3 linked regions of the Schizosaccharomyces pombe genome follow. The gene in region 1 interacts genetically with each later gene. Each region holds a gene or a part of one and is shown on either strand. Other genes may lie near its edges. The genes, in order: gar2, pdc202 and rhp1602.

Region 1 (3,756 bases):
AAAAACTTTCGAGATTTATCGCTGGAACCCAGAGAAACCAGAAGTAAAGCCAAAGCTTCAAAAGTATACAGTCGACTTAACAAAATGCGGACCAATGGTTTTGGATGCGCTTATTAAAATCAAAAATGAGCAAGATCCTACCTTAACGTTCCGTCGCTCATGCAGAGAAGGTATTTGCGGGTCTTGTGCGATGAATATTAATGGCAGTAATACTTTGGCTTGCATCTGTAACATTAAAAAAGATAACAAACCTACTAAAATTTACCCCTTACCTCATTGCTTCATCGTAAAGGATCTCGTACCTGACCTAACCTACTTTTATAAGCAATATAAGAGTATTGAACCCTGGTTGCAAAACGATAACATCCCTAAAGACAAGGAGTTTTACCAATCTCGCGCTGACCGTGCCAAGCTTGACGGTTTGTATGAATGTATTTTGTGTGCCTGTTGTTCTACCTCTTGTCCATCTTACTGGTGGAACTCAGAAGAGTATCTTGGCCCAGCAGTTTTGATGCAGGCTTATCGTTGGATCATCGATTCTCGTGATCAAGCTACTGCTAAACGTTTGGATGTCATGCAGAACTCTATGTCTGTCTATCGTTGCCATACCATTATGAATTGCGCTCGTACTTGTCCCAAGGGTTTGAACCCTGGCCTTGCCATTGCCAAGGTAAAGGCTTTGATGGCTACTGCTTAAACAAGATTTACGCTTCTTTTTGTCTTTTCTTTCGCATCTGATGATTCCAATATTTCTTGTTAAAGAGGAACCCCCGTTGTTACTTAACCTATTTTATGTTTCTCTTCTACGATTTTTTTTACTTGCGTAGCTCTGTGTTTAGCTGTCATCTATGCTACATTACTTTCTCGATCTGACCATTACTTTTGCGTTGTTCCCGTTAATGAACCCTTTATTTTTATTTGCAATATCTAAATCTAGTTTACCATTAATAATTTCGGGAAATGGTAAACTTTTCTATTTTAAAGAAAATATGCTATTTCGTGGTAACTTGTGCACAATTGAATTGTTTGATTGTGATTTTTTACGCTGTTACATCAGATGAAATAATTAAGCATGTATTTGAAAATTATCTAAACCACTTTTTTCACTGTTTATTTGTGGCTAGTTACTGCATTTAACATAGCAGCTGCTTCTTTGGTTAAAGAGTTGAAAACTTTTTAGCATATTGAGAGCCCTTTAAGGTAATTGCTTTGTAAAACTTGAGATAAGTAAATGAGGCATCTTTTATTTAATTAAAGTATCACATAAAAACGGAAATCATGTACACAATAATGAAAGAAAAATAAATCTTAATATGACGATTAAACCATGGTATTCTCCATAGGCTGGTCGAAATTTTTTGTTACTATAACATGATTTTAAAATTTCAATGGATCAACAATGTACATTTTCACGGCCACTTTTTAGTTTATAATATTTGACGAACACAAATAACTTGGATAAGATGTTATCGTTCATAAGAATTTACATATTCACCACTCCAGATAATACTACGCAAGACTAAACCTAACTCCTTCGTTTCACTGATTCAACAATTTATTAAATTTCAATATGCTTTTTACCTTTAAGACATGTTATAAGCCTTCAGACACACTCATTTTTTAAATATTAATGGCGAATATTTTACTTTGCTGGTTTGTTGTTGAATAGCGCAGATAGCTATTACTTGATAGCGTAATTAGTTAAACTCGCTTTTATAAAAAATAGTAGTAGTTGAACAAGCTTCTATATTAGTAGTTTAACGAATACGTCTAGAAAATTTGCTATACTAGTATACGGCTTCAGGTACATATATCATCGGTAAAAATTTTTTTGGCTATATATAGCAGCTTGTCGCGCCGTACCAGCAGTCAAACTAAAAAACTCCCAAATTCTTTTAAACGGGCTTTTGGTATAGGTTGTGAATATAATGGCAAAAAAGGATAAAACCTCCGTTAAGAAATCAGTGAAGGAGACTGCATCAAAGAAGGGTGCCATTGAGAAACCTTCCAAGTCCAAGAAGATTACTAAGGAGGCTGCTAAAGAGATTGCAAAGCAAAGCTCTAAAACCGATGTCTCCCCTAAAAAATCTAAAAAGGAGGCTAAGCGTGCTTCTAGTCCCGAACCTTCAAAGAAATCAGTAAAAAAGCAAAAGAAATCTAAGAAGAAGGAAGAAAGCTCCTCAGAATCCGAGTCTGAATCTAGCTCATCAGAATCCGAGTCTTCCTCTTCAGAATCCGAATCTAGTTCTTCAGAGTCCGAATCATCTTCATCTGAATCCTCTTCGTCTGAGTCTGAAGAAGAAGTGATTGTGAAAACTGAAGAGAAGAAGGAGAGTTCCAGCGAATCATCTTCCTCCTCTGAGTCTGAAGAGGAAGAAGAGGCTGTTGTAAAAATTGAAGAAAAGAAGGAGAGCTCTAGTGACTCTTCTTCCGAGTCTTCCTCATCTGAATCTGAATCCGAATCTTCCTCATCTGAATCTGAGGAAGAAGAAGAGGTGGTCGAGAAGACTGAAGAGAAGAAAGAAGGCTCCAGCGAGTCTTCTTCTGACTCCGAATCCTCGTCAGATTCCTCCTCAGAATCTGGAGACAGCGACTCTTCCTCTGATTCTGAATCCGAATCCAGCTCTGAAGACGAGAAGAAACGTAAAGCCGAGCCTGCTTCTGAAGAAAGACCTGCTAAGATTACCAAGCCTTCTCAAGATTCTAACGAGACTTGCACTGTTTTCGTCGGTCGTCTTTCTTGGAACGTAGATGATCAGTGGTTAGGGCAGGAATTTGAAGAGTACGGTACAATTGTTGGTGCACGTGTTATTATGGATGGCCAAAGCGGTCGCTCAAAGGGTTACGGCTACGTTGATTTTGAGACCCCTGAGGCTGCTAAGGCTGCTGTTGCCGCTAATGGTACCAAGGAAATTGATGGTCGTATGGTCAACTTAGATCTCTCTAATCCTCGCCCAGCCAACCCTCAACCATATGCTCAACAACGTGCGGGTAATTTTGGAGACCAATTATCTGAACCTAGTGATACCGTATTTGTTGGAAATTTGTCTTTTAACGCAACTGAAGATGATCTCAGTACGGCTTTTGGCGGTTGCGGTGACATTCAATCCATTCGTTTGCCCACAGATCCTCAGTCAGGACGTCTTAAGGGTTTCGGTTATGTTACTTTCTCTGATATTGACTCTGCCAAGAAATGTGTGGAAATGAACGGTCATTTTATTGCTGGTCGCCCATGTCGTTTGGACTTTTCAACTCCTCGTACTGGTGGAGGTAGCCGTGGTGGTCGCGGTGGATTTGGCGGTCGTGGTGGATTCGGTGGCCGTGGTGGATTTGGTGGCGGACGTGGTCGCGGTAGAGGTGGTGCTCGCTCTGGAAACCCCAACCGTGGCTCGGTTGCTCCATTTTCTGGGAACAAAGTCACTTTTGACTAAGTATACTGGCTTTTAACTATATTGAGTTCATTTTTATGGGTTAAATGTAAATACCTTAGCAAATTAATATATGAGTTTGGGTTTTTGGGAAACTTTTTGGCATAAAGGGTTTTAATAAATGTTGGGCTGTGGATTTGATTTAATTGGGTTGAAGTATTCAAATACAAATGACTTGTTTGGGTTTGTTATGGAATGAATTTGGGTTTGGTTTGGTTTTATTGACTTTATAAAGATAATAAATATGGGCCCGTTGGTTTTACAATTTCAAAGCAGTGATGGTTGGCGTTGTTCTACGGTTTAGTTCATGTATTCACCTTTCCTTTAT
Region 2 (3,756 bases), 1.3 Mb from region 1:
AGGAAACTGGTTTCCACATTGTTTGGATTAACTCTACCTTTTCATTCATTGCTTCCAAGGTATTGTTTGTTTACGTACACCCTAACTTGACTTGAAAAATTTTAAACTAAAAAGTTGCTTTAAACATAAATTTAATAACTAATCATTATACTAAAAGACTATATGAATTGAATGGGCTTATCATAAAAAACATATAAATCAAAGGAAACTTTGTTTGCCAATTCCACTCTCAATAGCTTGCTCATTGCTTATTGATCTTAGACGTCAACTTGGCTTGCTCAACTAGGACACGAGGTGCATCCAACATAGGCATTACAAGCTCAACTACTTGAATGACATCTGCATTTGCAAACTCCTTGTCGCTAAACAACTTTTCAACGTCAGTAGGAGTTTTAACACAGTAAGTGCGGAAGTGGTTTTCAGCAGCTCCGAAAAACTTGGGAATCTGTTGGTAGCCCCATTTAGTGTTAATTTCGTTATAGCTAGCATGCAAACCATGAATTAAACGCTCAATGGTGTAACCGTCGTTGTTAATTATGAAAATAATTGGTTTGAGGTTATGGCGAATGCAGGTTGAAATCTCTGTAATCGTCAGTTGTAAGGATCCATCACCTACTACAAGAATGGTACGACGATCGGGCTCTTTAGAATCGTGGACGGCCAAAACAGCACCAAACATTGCACCAACGGAGTATCCAATAGATCCCCATAATACCTGGGAAATGGCTGTTACATCCTTTGGAAACCTGCAATCAAGGACACCAAAGTTTGCAGTTCCAGTCTCGGTGATCAAAACATCTCGGGGCTTCAAAAATTCACTAAATTTAGGCCAAAACCAGCAATGAGTAATCTCGTTGGAAGAATATCCTTCCGCATGCTTAGGCTTGATGTTGTAGCCAATGGTAGGAGCAGCCTTGGAATGACACATAGAAGCATCAAGTACTTTCAACAGTTTGCGAAGAATATACTTCATGGCTACATTTGGATAAAGAGCATATCGAATGCGCATGTGGTCTGAATGAAACTCAACGGCATTCTTTTGGCTGAGGTGGTAAGAGAAGGAACCCGTGTTAAAGTCTGATTTGAGAGCACCGATGGATAGCAACAGATCAGTGGATTCAATTCTGTCTTTAACTTCAGGATCTGAAATTGAACCAACATAAACGCCGTCAAAAAATTGCGAAGTTTCGTCAATTGCAGATTTACCCATGGGAGTTACATATGTAGGGAAATGGGTCAATTTAATCAGCTCATGTACTTCTGGAACGACACGATGTCTTACAGCACAAGCGTCAATTAAAATCACTGGTTTCTTTGCATTGACAACCATTTCCGAGATATGATTGATGACTTCTTGCTCAACTGCTGGATCGTTAGTATCCTCCTCGAGCTTTAGTCTTTTCCCAAGATTTGATGAAGATGCTTTGAAGTAGCCAGCATCAGAAGGAATACCAATGTAAACAGGCCTAGCCTTTTTATAACAAATCGACAAGGCTTCATCGATCTTTTCAGCTGCATCGTTTCCGTTATCGATCATTATACTGTAGGCAGAAACTTTCTTAAACATATCCATGAAAGTGCGAAAGTCTCCATCTCCTAAAGTATGATGAAGCAAAGCTCCAGTATCTTGCACCTTTGTGGAAGGCATTCCAACAATATGAACTACTGGGACATGCTCCGCATAAGAACCTGCCACTCCATTAATAGCGGAAAGCTCTCCCACGCCGAACGTTGTAACAATGGCTGAAAGACCATTAACACGAGCATAACCATCAGCGGCATAAGCACCATTCAACTCATTGGTATTGCCAACCCAACGAAATTTCTCATCTCCAACTTTCTCAATTAAGTCAAGTAGAGCTAAATTGAAATCTCCTGGAACACCAAGAATGGACTTGACCCCTAATTGTTCAAGCCTTTTGAATAGATATTCACCGACTAAAATATCCCCACTCATGTTTGATAATGCAATTTAATGTGCTTGTGAAATATACTCAACAAATTACAATGCTGAGTGTGTATTCCTTTTTCGCAAGATAATTATCTGTTGAATAACCAGCAGATACTTTCTGAACTTAAAGGAACAAGTGAGTTTGCTAGCTAAAAGTTAAAAAGATATAACCTTAGATGCTTCAGAGCAGGGTTACTCTGGCTATATAAGCAACATTCCGTCATCAATGATACATTGAGTTAATGTGGATTATTCTTTTTGAAACTCTTGGTACGAAACCACTCGTCAGAGGCTATTTCATTATTCGACTCAAATCTCACTATGTGCCACCCGGGAAAACGTCAACTATGCAATTTGCAATTATTGATTTAAGGCATCGTCAGCAGTTTATACTGGACGATTCTTCGGTTAGTGTAAGCAACTGCAGAAATTATTATGAAAACTCTACATCACCGAACGTTCCGTCTCGAAATTCTTAATTGTATCTATACCAAAGACAAAATTGATACCTTTTACATTATGTCTAAACTGAATTTAATGACTATTCCTTATTTCAAGCTTATTAATTTACATGCTTTATTGGTTTGTACCATGTTTGTTTGGATACTTAACATTGAGAGCTGAATGTGAAATATTGTTTCGTCCGTAAAAGTAAGGCGTACCTCATGGTTACGAGACCATGTGACCACTCAAAAATAGAATCCTCATTATTATAAAGTATCCAAAAGTCTTTGAACATATTGCTGTAATTATGATTTCACATGAATATTAACGACATTTTTCAACCGAGTTCACGATTTGCCTGACATCTAGCAATATCGATTTCACAATTGATGGACCATTTATAGGCTTCTTGCTTTAATTCTGATTATTTTTTTCATTGTTATATTGCTACAGTGTTAAGCTTCAACTTGTTGTTTTTCTGTTTATCATATTGATTTGCAAATTGTAACGCTCCTTGCTATCCTCAATAGTTGCCATGAGCCAAACGGTATAGCAAGAAGTGATCTCCAGCACTGGTTCCCCCACCCCCACATGATGTGTACATTTAAGAGGGCAGGTAACGCTAATAAATAGTATGATAAATAATACAAAATTACTGTTATAAAAATTTCAACAGATATCTAAAAAAAATTGATTTGATCATATCCCAAAGTATTGTAAACTCGCACAGGAGAATATTCTACCTTTAAAGATTTAGTTTTGTATTATGATTTTGTTTGACAAAAGTAATAGTCATGAGTAAATTGATTACTACATTTAATAAACAAATCTATATTCAAAATAGAAAAAAAAAATTCGCTACTTCGAAAGTGAAATTTAACAACATGAGACTTCAACCGAATTGATTTTATTTTTAAAGGAAACAGAACCAGAGCCATCAGAAAGACTCGGTCCTTACAACCGTTATGAACGGTTGTGGAAAACAGTATTAAAAAGAATAAAATCATGATAGCTACATATCATTGACATACACTTAACAAGGACATTGAAAAATGAGATTGGTGTAATCAACAGTAAATAAGTAAAAACATAAAGTTTGCACATATAGCCAAGAAAATAAATAAGCTAATACTTGCGAGCGACTTCAATAATAGTGCGAACTGGGCGTCCGCTCATGCCGTCACAATCCCAAGAATTAAGCTGCTTATCCATAACTCCGGCAATGTCTAAATGAGCAAAAGACAAATCTTTCTGGGCTAAGAAGCATTTAATAAAGGCAGCCGCTGTACAACAACCACCACCGGCACGACTAACATTGCACAAATCAGCATTTGAAGAACTTGTAAGTTGCTTGAGGTAAG
Region 3 (3,756 bases), on another chromosome or scaffold:
AGATAACCTCATCGACGATGTTTTGCAATCCGAGACTTCCGGTAATAAAAGAAAGGAACTCTTGCGCAGATCATGTTTAGCACTTACAAAAAATAAACGGATAGACTCTTATGAACGCGCTCTTTATGGCGCTTTATGTGGAGACTTGAACTCCGTCCTTGATGTGTGCACAACTTGGGAGGATGCGATGTGGGCTTATTATAATAGTATGACTCAGTACAATTTGGATGTTTATCTTTCTTCTAAGGCTCCTCAAACAGAAACACAATTGCCTCCAGTGGATAGTGGTTTAGGCTTAACTCCCGAATTGATTTTTAATTCGCTGAGTAACAGCTCTATTGCTTCAATCCAAGAAGAAGCATCACATCCCCTAATTAAACTTCAAACTCATATCATTTGTAATAAAATTTCGGAAATTTTGAGCTCTGCTCACATACAGTTGGAAGCAATTCGGACTGGAAATGCCCCTGAGTCTGGGGATTTGGTTACACCTCCTCTTCTTCGAATACTGACACACATAATTTTATTTTTGAAGATTTCAGGTCTTGCTGTGGATGAATATACTTCTGACTCTATTATCCAAGCGTATATTGAGTTATTGGCTAGTGCTAAAAAAGTTAACTTGGTTCCATTGTATATTCAGTACCTATCAAATCAAGTGCAGTACGAGGCTTATTCTCGATTCCTTATTCTTGTTGATGAAGAAAGTGCAAGATCAGAACAACTTCAATTAGCAAAAAAATATTCATTAGATATTAATCATGCGGCGTTACTAGCTGTTGAATATGTGTATGATGAAGTTGTCTCTGTTTCTCCCGAAGAAGTTCACACAGTATATTTAAAATCTATTGAGGAGCCAGTTGAACCATCTTATAAAAAGCTCATCTGCACCCTTGAATGGTTATTAATCACTTCACAGACAGATGAGCTGCTCCGATTTGCAAACCTTGTATATCGTTTCTTTTTAAGCATTGGCGAGCTAAATAGTGCATACGATCTTTATACACATATTCCCTCTGATGCTTTGAATACGCTAAGCTCTAGCGATGGTGAACCCGAAAACGATTCTAAGTTTAGAGATGCGTATGAACTGATGAACTATCGAGCTCTCTGCAGAGCACTTAAATTTTATCAAGAATGGGAAGAGCTTTCTAAACAAGAAGTATTTGAAGATTCTGCAGTTACGAAAGCTAGCACTTCTTATAAAGTTTGGAAAAAAAAATTGAATTTTGCCTCTCGTAAATGTGTAAAGTCCTTCACAGACTTACTTCAAGCTAACTGGCTTCACCCGTCTACATTGGAGCTGAAACCAGATGATGATCCTTTGCTTTATAAAACTCTTATGACTATTCGGAATTTGTATGTGCCTGAACTAATTCTCGGTTTGCATAATGTTTATTTTAGCCTTGAGGACTATGATAGCTGTTTTGCTCTGGCTAACGAAGTTGCCAGTGAAGATTTAAAACTTTACCATTGTCTTATTAAAAGTGGCAGACTGGTTGAATATGTTTCTTATTTAGGAAAGGCCGGAGAATGTAGCCTTTCAACCCCTAATGGGCTTTTTTCTTTATAAGTGTCAATGTATAAGAGATTCAATTCGAAAACTAATAGTGATGCTGCAAATGTGGTATCATCTTCGCATTGATAACCAGTTTATCTTAATACGTTGATTTTAAAACTAAGCTGAAAAACTTCCATAACTTTTGACTATTTCTAATATAAATTTTTTTTTCCAAAAAGTTAGACTATGAACTAAATCCAGAATTGCAGACACTTTGTTGCAAACATTCTTATAAAATTGTTTGAAAGTTCGGTTAATTAGGACCATTGCGCAAGTTCTTAAATCCTATAGTCGATTTGAGCAGTCTTTACAAATTTCGACTCGAAAACTGTGTTAGTGGATATATTGTGTAGGGTTTACTTTTATACTCAAAAAAACATTAAAGTAAGCAAATAGAAATATTTGAGTTCTTGACACCAATCTTCACTTAGTAAGAACCCATCGTATACAAGCTATTTCTACTACCACTGAATGTTCACGTTCAGTGCAATTTGCTTGAGGGAGCTTGATGGAAAAAGCGTCTAAAAATAAGGAAAGTGGGGTTAAAAAAGCGAATAACTCTTTTTTACAAAATTTCGGTGTAAATACAGCAGGGAAAGAAAATGAATCTACTTCATTACCAAGGTTGCCCAAAAGCGAAGATGAATCCATCCCAAAACAATCTATAAAATCTAAGAATAAAAAGAAAACCCAACATTTTCTTTCTGATGCTTTTGAAAGCTTAAAGAGACAGGAGATAGATACAAACGAAAAGGAAGTAATCGTCTCCGCGCCTATAACTAGTAAACCAGCTCAGGTTTTTTATAGTAAAAAATTGGAACGTAAGGATGAGGGAATAAGGAAATGGGAGAAAGATCCATTTGCCCCTATCTCAGTAAAATCTGGTGCGTGGAAGAAACCATATACCAAGGTTCCTGAAGTCTCAATAAATAAAGCAACTTCGAAAAGAACGGACTTGATAAATGATAAGCCTATTGTGATTCCAATTCCCAGAGCTTCTACTTCAACGCTATATTTTGGTAAGCACAATAAACCAACTTCTGAAAATAGAAAAGGCCCCATAGGTATACCCACTGAAGAAATCTTAACTTCCCAAAATACTCAAGCAATGCTACATAAACTGTTTGAGAATAATGTGCTGGACAATGTTAAGGACGATTCAATGCAGAGGCAGTCCTCGTTTATTCCTGGCATGCATATACGTCTACTAGATCATCAAGTCCAAGGACTTACTTGGCTCAAATCAAGAGAAACGGTGTCTAAATCTTCGGCTTCCGGCGGAATTCTAGCAGATGATGTAAGTCATGAAAATATTATTTGTTGTTATTCAGTGCTAATAATTTTTTTAGATGGGATTGGGAAAAACTATTCAAATGATCGCTTTAATTCTTTCGCATCCCTTACCAAAGAAGAAGCATTCAATCAAATCCACTTTGGTAGTAGCTCCACTCAGTTTAATTAAACAGTGGGAATCAGAAGTGCAGACGAAAAGCAAGTTGACAGCAATCGTTTATCATGGAGCATCCAGATATAAATTACTTAAAGTAATTCACGAATACGATGTAGTAATAACCACGTATCAAATACTAGTTTCGGAATGGGTGTCTCACAATACTACAGGTACAGACGGCAAATCGCCTACTGAAGCTAAAAGTTATGAAAAGAAAAAGCCAAGCTTGTTTGCCTTCTATTGGTGGAGGATAATACTGGATGAAGCACACACTATAAAAAATAAATCTTCTAAATCAGCTCTTGCCTGTTGCGCATTACAGGGCATCAATCGCTGGTGTCTCACTGGGACACCTTTACAAAACAATGTAGATGAACTTTACTCACTTGTGAAATTTCTTCATATTAATCCATTTAACGACCAATCTGTTTGGAAAGATCAAATTTCTTTACCTTTATGTCAAGGAGAGGAAAACTTGGTTTTTAAAAGACTTCGAATGCTTCTGAGTGTAATCATGTTACGACGAACGAAGACTTTGTTAGAGGCAAACGCGGGCAAAGATGGTACAGGTGGTGCTTTAAAACTTTCAAAGCGTTTGGTGTATAAGGTTATTTGTAAATTTGAAGAAAGTGAACGTGACTTTTACAGTAACTTGGCACGAAACATGGAACGAACGATGTCAAATTTTGTTAATTCGGGGAAATTAGGCAAGAACTATACTAACATACTGTGTCTTCTCTTGCGT

The links.
Region 2: mutations in gar2 (region 1) and pdc202 together harm fitness more than expected from each alone (negative genetic interaction), as found in Schizosaccharomyces pombe (one large-scale study listed by BioGRID).
Region 3: mutations in gar2 (region 1) and rhp1602 together harm fitness less than expected from each alone (positive genetic interaction), as found in Schizosaccharomyces pombe (one large-scale study listed by BioGRID).

The regions. Positions count from the first base shown.
Region 1 is NC_003424.3:1,895,595-1,899,350, forward strand, and holds the start of gar2 (nucleolin), read left to right. Parts: upstream 1-1,867; 5' UTR 1,868-1,928; coding exon 1,929-3,431; 3' UTR 3,432-3,756. Other genes in the region: sdh2 (succinate dehydrogenase iron-sulfur subunit protein), read left to right, coding at 1-697. UniProt on the Schizosaccharomyces pombe protein: Helps the assembly of pre-ribosomal particles containing 18S rRNA.
Region 2 is NC_003424.3:583,798-587,553, reverse strand, and holds pdc202 (pyruvate decarboxylase), read right to left. Parts: upstream 1,958-3,756; coding exon 242-1,957; 3' UTR 59-241; downstream 1-58. Other genes in the region: ysp2 (peptidase family M17 cytoplasmic leucyl aminopeptidase yspII (LAP yspII)), read right to left, coding at 3,521-3,756.
Region 3 is NC_003423.3:437,091-440,846, reverse strand, and holds the start of rhp1602 (DNA translocase Rhp16b), read left to right. Parts: upstream 1-2,038; 5' UTR 2,039-2,069; coding exon 2,070-2,858; exon of another isoform or gene 2,859-2,910; coding exon 2,911-3,756. Other genes in the region: nucleoporin Nup107, read left to right, coding at 1-1,573.